Rattus norvegicus: one gene and its partners. The protein of the gene in region 1 interacts with the protein of each later gene in a pairwise test. Links are inferred from orthologs where the notes say so. Each region holds a gene or a part of one and is shown on either strand. Other genes may lie near its edges. The genes, in order: Ndn, Ssx2ip and Zbtb1.

What was found.
Region 2: the proteins of Ndn (region 1) and Ssx2ip interact in a two-hybrid assay, tested with the Homo sapiens proteins (2 studies listed by BioGRID). The link is inferred for Rattus norvegicus from reciprocal best matches to the Homo sapiens genes NDN and SSX2IP.
Region 3: the proteins of Ndn (region 1) and Zbtb1 interact in a two-hybrid assay, tested with the Homo sapiens proteins (2 studies listed by BioGRID and IntAct). The link is inferred for Rattus norvegicus from reciprocal best matches to the Homo sapiens genes NDN and ZBTB1.

The regions. Positions count from the first base shown.
Region 1 is NC_086019.1:125,260,140-125,263,284, reverse strand, and holds Ndn (necdin), read right to left. Parts: upstream 2,227-3,145; 5' UTR 2,160-2,226; coding exon 1,182-2,159; 3' UTR 627-1,181; downstream 1-626. UniProt on the Homo sapiens protein: Growth suppressor that facilitates the entry of the cell into cell cycle arrest.
Region 2 is NC_086020.1:237,985,861-237,989,513, forward strand, and holds part of Ssx2ip (afadin- and alpha-actinin-binding protein), read left to right. Parts: intron 1-1,777; coding exon 1,778-1,892; intron 1,893-2,409; coding exon 2,410-2,569; intron 2,570-3,653. UniProt on the Homo sapiens protein: Belongs to an adhesion system, which plays a role in the organization of homotypic, interneuronal and heterotypic cell-cell adherens junctions (AJs).
Region 3 is NC_086024.1:100,844,220-100,847,972, forward strand, and holds the start of Zbtb1 (zinc finger and BTB domain-containing protein 1), read left to right. Parts: upstream 1-877; coding exon 878-3,019; 3' UTR 3,020-3,753.

The DNA of each region.
Region 1 (3,145 bases):
TAATTCGTACATTCAGAGGCTAATTTGCGCAAAACTCTCAGAATTAATTAGAAAAATCAAATCCTTAATGTATGCAGCAGGGAGACAAGGGTGCTTGTGTGAGTGGTAGCCATGGGGAGCTAAGTGTCAAGACTCCAGTATAAGGTCTATGATTTTTAGGGTATTTCATTACCAGCATCCTTTCATTTTTCTTGCTTTGTGCTGATACAGTCATTCCTTACTTCTTATGGCTGGTGGGAGGATAAAATAAAGAAGAAAATGCACAACGAGGGTTTAGTAGCAATATTTCATTCTGTTAAAGTGCCCACCAAAGACTATTTAAAACAAAAAAACAAAACAAAACAAAACAGAAAAGGGACAGTCCCTACATAATTCCTGTTATTATTCCCACGTTATGTGAACATGCCTTTTTTTGTTATCACGCCTTTAATGTGACCAATTTCTTGAAGCACCACAATTTTCAAAAAACTTCTGAGTGGTTATGAGTGGTGTTTTCCCACTCTGTTAGAAGTATACTTGCTCATGTTGTACACGGGGAGAATCTTTCTCATCCCTACCCACTCCCATTCCCCCTTTCACCAAAATAAATGCCTCCCCCCCAAACAAAGAAATTATTTCACGGTATATTTAATGCTCATTTTAAAGTTTATTTATGGTGGGGTTGGATACATGTTTTGCAAAGTGTGCTAAGTGCTTAAACTGAAAACAGTCCAGTTCAAATCAGTCCATTCCACATGGATGTTTCCTGTGCCAGTTGGAGTCATATGGAGAGGGACCCTGACCTTTCTCTTGGTCAGGTCTGTGTTGTTGTTAAGTCCTGCTAACTCTCCAGGGCCTTCTTTGTCGATACGGACCATCAGTCCCATTCAAAGAACAAGATACAGAACACCTCAATGTATTTCACAAGTTTAGCACAGCACATCTCTTGTACAAAAATCCAAGAAAGCACAGAAGTGAAAGTACCAACTTGCTCACTTATAAAACACACATGCATCAATTTTAAACACTACACGAGTACACAACTGAATACATTGCATTACAAGATAAAAAAAGCACTGGATGGAAAACTTAAAAACTATACATGAAATACTGCACTATGAATCTGGGATACTCTAATGTCCAACCCCACCCTTACACAGCCCTAGTATGGGTCAGAAACTATCAATGTGCTCCTGGACATTTTAGTCCTCAGAGACACTGCTGCGGGGGGCCTGGGCGACAAGATTAGCCTCCCGCAGAGCTCTGGCCTGCTCCAGAGCCTCTCTGTAGCGGGAAGGCCAAGCCTGGGGATCCTTCTTAAAGACTCTGGCCAGGAACTCCATGATCTGCATCTTGGTGATTTCACGGTTAGCTCTGGGGCCCCAGAAGAACTCGTACTCGGGAGGCTCGATGTGGGGCACACGCTGGTACTTCAGGTAATTCTGCTGGACGAACTCCTCGGTGATAATCTTTCTCACATCTCCGAAGGTGGAGTGCTTCTTCCAGGGCCTCAGCCCCAGGATGCGCAGCACATTCCAGACCGCACCCTCTCTGGCCCCGCGGCCCTTCACATAGATGAGACTCAGGATCATGAGCAGGAGACCTGTCATGGGCATACGGTTGTTCAGCGCGACTCTGTCCAGCTCTTCTGGGCTGAGTGCTTTGACCAGGGCGAACTCCATGGTGTGGAGATTGGTCAGCCTCAGGTGCAGCCCGAAAACTCTGGCGAGGATGACGCTGGTGCGCCTGAGGATGCTTCTGCACCACTTCTTGTAGCTGCCCATGACCTCTTTCACCATGTCTGGAAACCAGAGGACCATCCTCTTCTGGTCCTTGACCAACACGTACCACATGAGCTCGTGCGCCTTCTGCACCAGCTGGGCAGGGGCCGGCGGTGCTGGGATCGGCCGGGCTGGGCTCTGGGGCTGGTGGGCGCGGCCCTCTTCTGCGGCCTGCTGCAGGATCTTAGGGTCAACCTCTTCAAACCGTTCTGCAGGTGGTGGCGAGGCCTGTGGGGCTGCCATAGGGCCTTCCGGAGCGCACGATGGCCCTGAGAGGTTCGCGGCCAGAGGAGCGGGAGGAGGGACCCCCACCGGAACAGCATCGCTGACCTGCATCTCAGTGTCGGGGTCCTCAGCGGCAAAGTTAGGGTCGCTCAGGTCCTTACTTTGTTCCGACATTCTGCGTCTTTTGATCAGAGCAGGACCGCTGCGACTCGGAGCTCTCGGAGCCTGCACTGCCTCAGTGGATACTAGCAGAGGAAGTGCGCTTTACTGAGCACTGCGCCTTCCGCAGCAGCGGGCCGGGCGGGGCAGACGCTATATTGCGCATGCGTAGTGGGAAGCCAGAAGGGTGGTAGGGCTGGATAGGAGCGAAGTAGCAAAGCCCAACCACTGGGGTCTAAGGGAGGGTACCACTAGTATTATGAAAAGGATCTCCTGGTCTCCTGTATGGGACAGAGATGGGTGATAGTGGGGAAAGAAACAAGTTGAAGGAGAAAGATATAGCTGAGATGGTGAAGTTAAGTTCCGACACACTGAGTTAAGTGTGAAGGTCCTGGAGGAAGAAGACTAATTCTTGAATTTGAGTTTTCCACAAAAGAATAGGAGAGACAAAAATAACCTTTTCTTGGAAAGTCATACCTGATGATGATGATGATGATGATGATGATGTGTTGTCTAATATCAGAATGTTGAGAAATTATTAATAGAGATAAATCGTTACAAATCTGAGCAGTATCAAACAAGGAAGAATGCAAAGTATAGTTACAGACACTGGAAATCAATCCATGTGAGAATTTAATGTTTTAGAAGTAGATTCATATAACATAATTGATGTGCGTCTAAAATTTTAATTAAAATGGGACTTGGTTCAGTGGGCAAGAGCTGTTGCAGTTCAAGCATGAACCTGAGTTTAAACCCCAGGTCCCACATGAACAAAACAGATATATAAAATTATTTATATGTATTCATTCATCGTTGGATTCTTAGTTTGTTGGCTTACAATTATTTTAATAACTATGGATTTGGGCTCTGCATTTCTATTAGGTCACTTTGATTTCATTTAGAAATTCCCTTAAGAATCTAGTGGGAAATGATCAACATGTTTATTAATACACATTTTATGATAGTGTATTTTTCATGCACTCCCAGTGCCCTTTCCCCCT
Region 2 (3,653 bases), on another chromosome or scaffold:
AAGCTAGATTAGACTTCGTTGACTGGGCATTTAATTTTAACTTCTAGCTTTCCCTTCAACAATTGAAAGAAGGGGATTGGAAGGTGGCTTGGGGTTAAGAGCACTGGCTGCTCCCCCGGAGGACCTGGGTTCAGTTCCCAGCACTCACACGGCAGCTCACAGCCGTCCGTGAGTCAGGTCTAGGGGAGCAGAAGCCTGTTCTGTATCAGGCACAGACATGTAGGCAAACCACCCATATACATGAAATATTTTTTAAAAAATTGAATTATTTATTTTAATTTTGTTGCAGCTAGACATTTCCTATGTCACCTCGTAGGCAGTGTTGTGGGACGCCTTCTGCGCAAGCTTAGGGGATTTTCACAGTTCCCAATCTCCTCAGGACACACTTAGTTTCTTCCTCTGAGAGTCCCGTGTCTTCCACGTAGAGGTGTTTTCTCCTGCTTGTTTCCTCTGTGTCTGTCTTCCCTGTTGTTTGACGGTGTCTGGCCCTCAGGTGTGCCTGTGGCTGACACTGGGTTCTAAGTTCTGGACATTTTTTATATTATTCTTTGGATCACCAAACTGTCTTTAGGATCAGTTTTATTATTTATTTCAGTCACTGACTTTTTTTTTCTTTTTTCTTTTTTTCAGAGCTGGGGACCAAACCCAGGGCCTTGCGTTTGCTAGGCAAGCGCTCTACCACTGAGCTAAATCCCGAACCCCTGATTTTTTTTTTTTTATTTCAGAATTTGTTTTTTTTTTATTTTTCTAGTACACTTAAATTTCCTTTTCTTTATATACTATTGTTGTCTTGCATGCGTTTTGAATCTTATAATCTGTGTGACGGCATTTTCAGAACTCTAGGAACACCGTTATTTGCAGTCAGTTTACCTTTGCTTTTCCTCTTCTGCTGCTGTTTGCCCCAGCGTGGGTCAAATCTGGTTTCGTATTCACAGTGTGAGTAACAGACTCAGTGCCAGGCATCCTAAGTCGCCTGCACGACTCCCCCACACCCTTACTTAAGCCCCGAGTGTTCCTCAGGCAGCCAGTGCCTCGTGTGCGCCTGGCAGCCGTGTGACCCTGCCCAAGAGTATGTCTGCTTGGAGACATGGGTGGCCATGACAGAGGAATGAGAGAAAATGTGGTTTAGGGATCATCACGTGATCATGAGGAGATTCTGTGTAATCATGTGATCAGAAGATGATCCTGTGTAATCTGTCTTTCCTCTTGTGGCTCCCACTGGCAAATGGCGACAAGACAAAAGAAATCTCCGGAGAGGTCAGACGTCTGTTTCCCAGTGGGTGATTTGTAAAGTGGGGGTTTTTCTGATATCAGTTTTGTGTTGCGTGTTCTTTGTGTCATAGTTCTGCTAATACTGTGTTCATGGGAAACCCAGCAGTCGATGGACTATCAGTGAAGTCTGTGGTTTTCATTATTTAAAGATTATTAGCCTATGTGTGCGGGTGTTAGACCTGAAGGTGAACATGTGTCCCTGGTGCCCTCAGAGGCCAGAGGATATCCTGTCACCTGAGTGGGTGCTCGAGACTCATGAGCCGTCTCGTGGGAGCTGGGAGTGGAGCCCAGGCCCTGTGTGGAGCATCAGGTGCTCTTAACCAGTGCAGCCGCCTTGCTGTCCCCAACTTTAGTTTCTTAAACGTGATTTTCTTGAGTCCTTTAGTTTCTAGGTGACTATTTCATGTAAGAAGGTACAGGTTGCAGAGGGGAAGCAGCTGGAGAAGTTCCTGAGAGGGAGAGAGAGTTAACAGTGGAGTAACTGCCTTCGTCTTCGTCCCACTAGAGAAAGGCGTTTGAGGAAGAGCGAGCCAGCTGGGTGAAGCAGCAGTTTTTAAACATGACGACCTTTGATCACCAGAACTCAGAAAATGTGAAACTTTTCAGTGCCTTTTCAGGAAGTAAGTGTTGACGTGTGTCTGGTTGGAATGTGTCCCAGTCCGGCGCCGAGCGAGCTGGCAGCCCCAGTGCGTACAGGATGGCCTATCTGGAGCTGAAGACTTAGTCTAAGTGTTTTAATCTCTCTCTGCCTACCCGTGTTCAAGTTCTAGTGATCAGACCCAGGAACTCAACCTGTAACAGGCTACTATTCTACCAAGGAGCCAGACCCCTAACCCCCAAAAACCAGCTTAATGGTTTATTTACTTAAGTCAGAGTGAGGTTCATGGGAGAAGCATGCATATAAAAAGTGCTCTTGTGGGTTTATGATGATGCTATCCATGTTCATGAAAATTTGTGATCTTAGAAACTGACCATTTTTAAGCTAGGCCCCTCTCTCTGGAGATTGTGTGACAGAGATGGCAGGTAATTTATTCTTTCTCAAAGTCCACTCTGAATTGCAAGTGCTTGATCCTGGTTCGTGATCTCCGTGGTTGATAGTTTACCATGTGTCCTGTTCTTTCTCTTACTCATAACCAGGTTCTGATCCAGACAATCTTATAGTCCACCCACGGCCACGGCAAAAGAAGCCACACAGTGTCGCTAATGGGGTACCAGCTTGCACATCCAAACTGGCTAAGTCTCTTCCGACCTCACCTTCAGACTTCTGCCCGTCTCGCTCATGTGTGTCTGAGCACAGGTATTTGTTTTTAAGTGATCGTTTCACACACTTCTAAAATTGGTTAACATTGTATTGCTTAGAAGAAGTTGGTGTGTGAGTGTGTGTGTGTGTGTGTGTGTGTGTGTGTGTGTGTGTGTGTGTGTGTGTCTTATGACAGTGTACACTTTGGAAAGAAATTAGATTGACTTATTTATTCTGTCTGCAGAGAGATTGCCAGTGTGTGAGGCTTAGAGCCACGTTTAGAACTCTAGTAGATCCAGTCCACTCCTGTCTGTCTCTGCTCACATTTGAAGTCTAGACTTCTGGGCCAGTGCGGTGCACAGCTTTCACCCTGTACTCAGGGAACAGGCTGTCTTGCTGTACGTGGCAAGTTCTAAGTTAGACAGCGCTACATACCAAGACACTACCTTAAAAGAGAGACTAAGGCGATTATGTCATGAAACATTTAAAACTCTAAGTACTTTGATCATGCTGAAGACTGCCGTTTTGGTAGTTTTTCAGAGTACCTAACTTAAGTTTCTTTGGTATGCTCATAGCGTGGGTATTGAAGGGCAAAGAGCCGAGGAAAAGCACTTCCTCAGGTTGGTAAGAAAATTCCTGCCTCAGGTAGAAGTATTAAAGCAGCTTATTCCCTGTCCTCAGGGCACGTGCATATATAATTTTCTAAGATGATTTAAGTCTGTTTTTAGGTCTAATCTAAGAACTGTGGAGCAAATGTGAGAGATTTAAACAGAGGAGGTAAAGGGAAACACGAACTCTAATAAAATAGCATCGCACATTTCTCTGTGGGAATGGACGTGGAGTGCCGTGCAGTGGGAGAGCAGGTTGGAAGGCACGGTTGGAGCTGAGAGATGATATTTCTTTGGAATTGGGTCATAAAAGGAGCCCAGAGCTAGTGAAGTGATGGGAGGTCAGATATGGGAGTGATCATTGCTGTGCAGGACCCTGCCGCTCAGCCTCACCCCGTGTGTACATGGAAGTCTGAGGAAAGCACTTCCAAGCGCATCCTCCTGATTTCCTGAGTGGGTCTAACATCATTAGTGCAGACGTGGGGGTAGTCAGACGTGAGACATTCGGGAACACCTGCTCTAAACGATGACCA
Region 3 (3,753 bases), on another chromosome or scaffold:
ATTACGTGTTTCTTCCTCTAGGATGAAAACAATTTTGGTGTGTATATGTTTGTTTTTGTACAGAGGCCTCTGTGTGTGTGTGTGTGTGTGTGTGTGTGTGTGTGTGTGTGTGTGTGTGTGTGTAGGCCAGAGGTCAACCTTGGGTGTTATTCCTTGGGTGCTGTCTACCTTGTTTCTTGAGATGGTTTCTCGTTGGCTTGGTACTTCGAAAATAGGCTGGCCGGTTGCAGTGGGTCTGCCCCATGCCCTGCTTTTTTTAGATCTGTGGTTTCTGGTAGTCCTCATGCTTGCTCCTTTGTGTGCACACAAGGTCTCATGAGTAGCCTTGGCTGGCCTGGAACTTGCTCTGTAGACCAGGCTAGTCTGGAATCCTCTGCCTCCTGAATTCGGCTGTAAGGGACTAAAGACTGCCCCAGCACAGCAGCCATGTCAGAGCCGGGCCCTCACGCTTTCTTGGTTCTTTTTTTTTTTTTTTTTTTTTTTCCCCGGAGCTGGGGACCGAACCCAGGGCCTTGCGCTTCCTAGGTAAGCGCTCTACCACTGAGCTAAATCCCCAGCCCCACCCTCACGCTTTCTAAGACAAGTACTCCACCAACCAAGAGATCTTGGGTTTGGATTTATTAAGGATTATGGAAATATTAAGGATTTTGCTTCTGATTCCTTTTGTTCAATATAAGAAAACTGAAAAAATAACTAGGTATTTTCATCTTCAAACTTAAAAAAAATTACCAGCTTTTGCTTCATTAGTGTAGAAAACCATGCTTTGATTGTAATAGCAAAAGTACACCAGTCAAACATGATGCTAGAGTGCCCTTTTTAGCGCCTTCCTGCCGCCTGACTGTCATGTCCTTGTTTTACACAGGCTCACCGGCAGGAGATGGCCAAGCCCAGCCACAGCAGCTACGTCCTGCAGCAGCTAAACAACCAGAGAGAGTGGGGCTTTCTGTGCGACTGCTGCATCGCCATTGACGACACTTACTTCCAAGCACACAAGGCCGTGCTAGCTGCCTGTAGCTCCTACTTCAGGATGTTCTTCATGAACCATCAGCATAGCACTGCCCAGCTGAACCTCAGCAACATGAAGATCAGCGCCGAGTGCTTCGATCTCATTTTGCAGTTCATGTATTTAGGGAAGATTCTGACCGCTCCTTCCAGTTTTGAGCAGTTCAAAGTGGCTATGAACTACCTCCAGCTCTACAATGTTCCTGACTGCTTAGAAGATATACAGGACTCAGACTGTTCCAGCTCGAAGTGCTCGTCTTCCGCCTCCAGCAAACACAACAGCAAGATGATCTTTGGGGTGAGGATGTATGAAGACACAGTGGCTAGAAACGGCAGTGAAGCCAACCGGTGGAGTGCGGAGCCCAGTTCAACGGTGAATACGCCACATAACAGAGAGCCTGAGGAGGAGTCTTTACCGTTGGCCAACTTTCCTGAGCCACTGTTTGACGTGTGTAAAAAAAGTTCCGTGTCCAAGTTATCTACTCCAAAAGAACGTGTGTCGCGACGCTTTGGACGGAGTTTTACCTGTGACAGTTGTGGGTTTGGCTTTAGCTGTGAAAAGCTGCTGGACGAACACGTGCTGACCTGCACCAACAGGCACTCCTACCAGAGCACGGCGAGAGCCTACCACCGAGTGGTGGATGCTAGAGATGGGAAAGACAGTGCCATCAAAGCTGAACTCGGTGACAAGGGCTCTCCTACAGCGTTTTCTGCACACACAGACAAATACAGAGAAGACGCCAGCCAGGCGCCCGATGACTCAGCCTCGCCCACTGGGAGCAGAAAAAGCACTGTGGAGTCCGGCACAGCTGGTGAAGAGAAGAGCAGAGCTGCGGAGACAAAAAGAGTTGTCATCAAGATGGAGCCAGAGGACGTCCCTGCAGACGACATGAAGGACTTCACCATCGTCAAGGTCACCGAGAAAGACTGCAACGAGTCCACCGACAACGATGAGCTAGAGGACGAGCCCGAGGAGCCGTTCTACAGATACTACGTCGAGGAAGATGTTGGCATTAAAAAAAGTGGTAGGAAAACCCTAAAACCTCGGATGTCCGTCGGCGTGGATGAAAGGGGTGGTTTGGAGAACATGAGACCCCCAAACAACAGCAGCCCCAGACAGGAGGACGCCGAGAATGCGTCTTGTGAGTTGTGTGGGCTCACGATAACGGAGGAGGACCTGTCCTCTCATTACTTAGCCAAGCACATTGAAAATATCTGCGCATGTGGTAAATGTGGGCAGATACTTGTCAAGGGCAGACAGCTTCAGGAACACGCTCAGAGGTGTGGCGAACCTCAGGACCTGACGATGAACGGGCTGGGGAACACTGACGAGAAGATGGACATGGAAGAGAACCCAGATGAGCAGTCTGAGATAAGAGACATGTTTGTTGAGATGCTGGATGATTTCAGAGACAATCATTACCAAATAAACAGTATCCAGAAAAAACAGTTATTTAAACATTCTGCCTGTCCTTTTCGATGTCCTAATTGTGGCCAGCGTTTTGAAACTGAAAATCTAGTGGTGGAGCATATGTCTAGCTGCCTAGACCAAGACATGTTTAAGGGCGCCGTCATGGAGGAGAATGAACGAGATCACAGACGGAAACATTTCTGTAACCTGTGTGGAAAAGGCTTCTATCAGCGCTGTCATTTGAGAGAGCACTATACTGTTCATACTAAAGAAAAGCAGTTTGTTTGTCAGACATGTGGGAAGCAGTTTTTAAGAGAGCGCCAGTTGCGTCTGCACAATGATATGCACAAAGGCATGGCCAGGTATGTCTGTTCCATTTGTGATCAAGGAAACTTCCGAAAACATGACCATGTACGGCATATGATCTCGCATTTGTCTGGTGGTGAGACTATATGCCAGGTCTGCTTTCAGATATTCCCAAATAATGAACAACTGGAGCAACACATGGATGTCCATCTGTATACGTGTGGAATATGTGGAGCAAAGTTTAATTTGAGGAAGGATATGAGATCACATTATAATGCCAAGCATTTGAAAAGAACCTGATGGGTTTCTCCTGTACACATGTTTAGTTGCTAGGCAGAACACCAAAGCAAAGAGGAGATGAGCTATTTAGAACTGATTTTATAACAAGTGTTGAGGGAATCTTCAAGGCCCTTTTACTTTGAACGTTTTTGTTTAGGACCTTAAGTATATTTTAGGCATTAATGTTTATCATTTTTGTTGTTTTTGAGAGCATTCTTTGTTCCTAGTTTCTTAACTACCATTAAAATTACTTTTCGATGTAGACTGTTAAGTGGCTGTTATCCCTTCAATGACTATTAAAACTAGTTTTTTGGGTTTTTTCTTTTTAATTTTTTTTTGGGTTTTTTTTGTTTTGTTTTGTTTTTTTAACCAATAAGGTAAAAACTTTGCTATTTCTATGTACTTTCATTTTAAGGTCATCCTATGAAATTTTAAACCCAAGATTATTTACCATTCCTGCTTAAATTTTTATAGAATTTTAAAATAATTATTTAAAACTATTCTATTTGTTTTTAACTTTTTGTTTTTTGCTTTTTGGGTTTTTGGGGGTTTTTTTGTTTGTTTGTTTGTTTGTTTGTTTGGCGGGGGGCTTTTTGTCAGTTGTATAGTGGGGTGGCTACTATTCTCCCTTATAAATGAAATCTATATTCTTAAATTGACAAACTTATTAGGCAAGTGAGGTGCACTGAATCTAACCTTTAAGGTTGACATGGGCTCAATCTTGGCCTGAGATTGATGGACCTAAGGAAACTCCT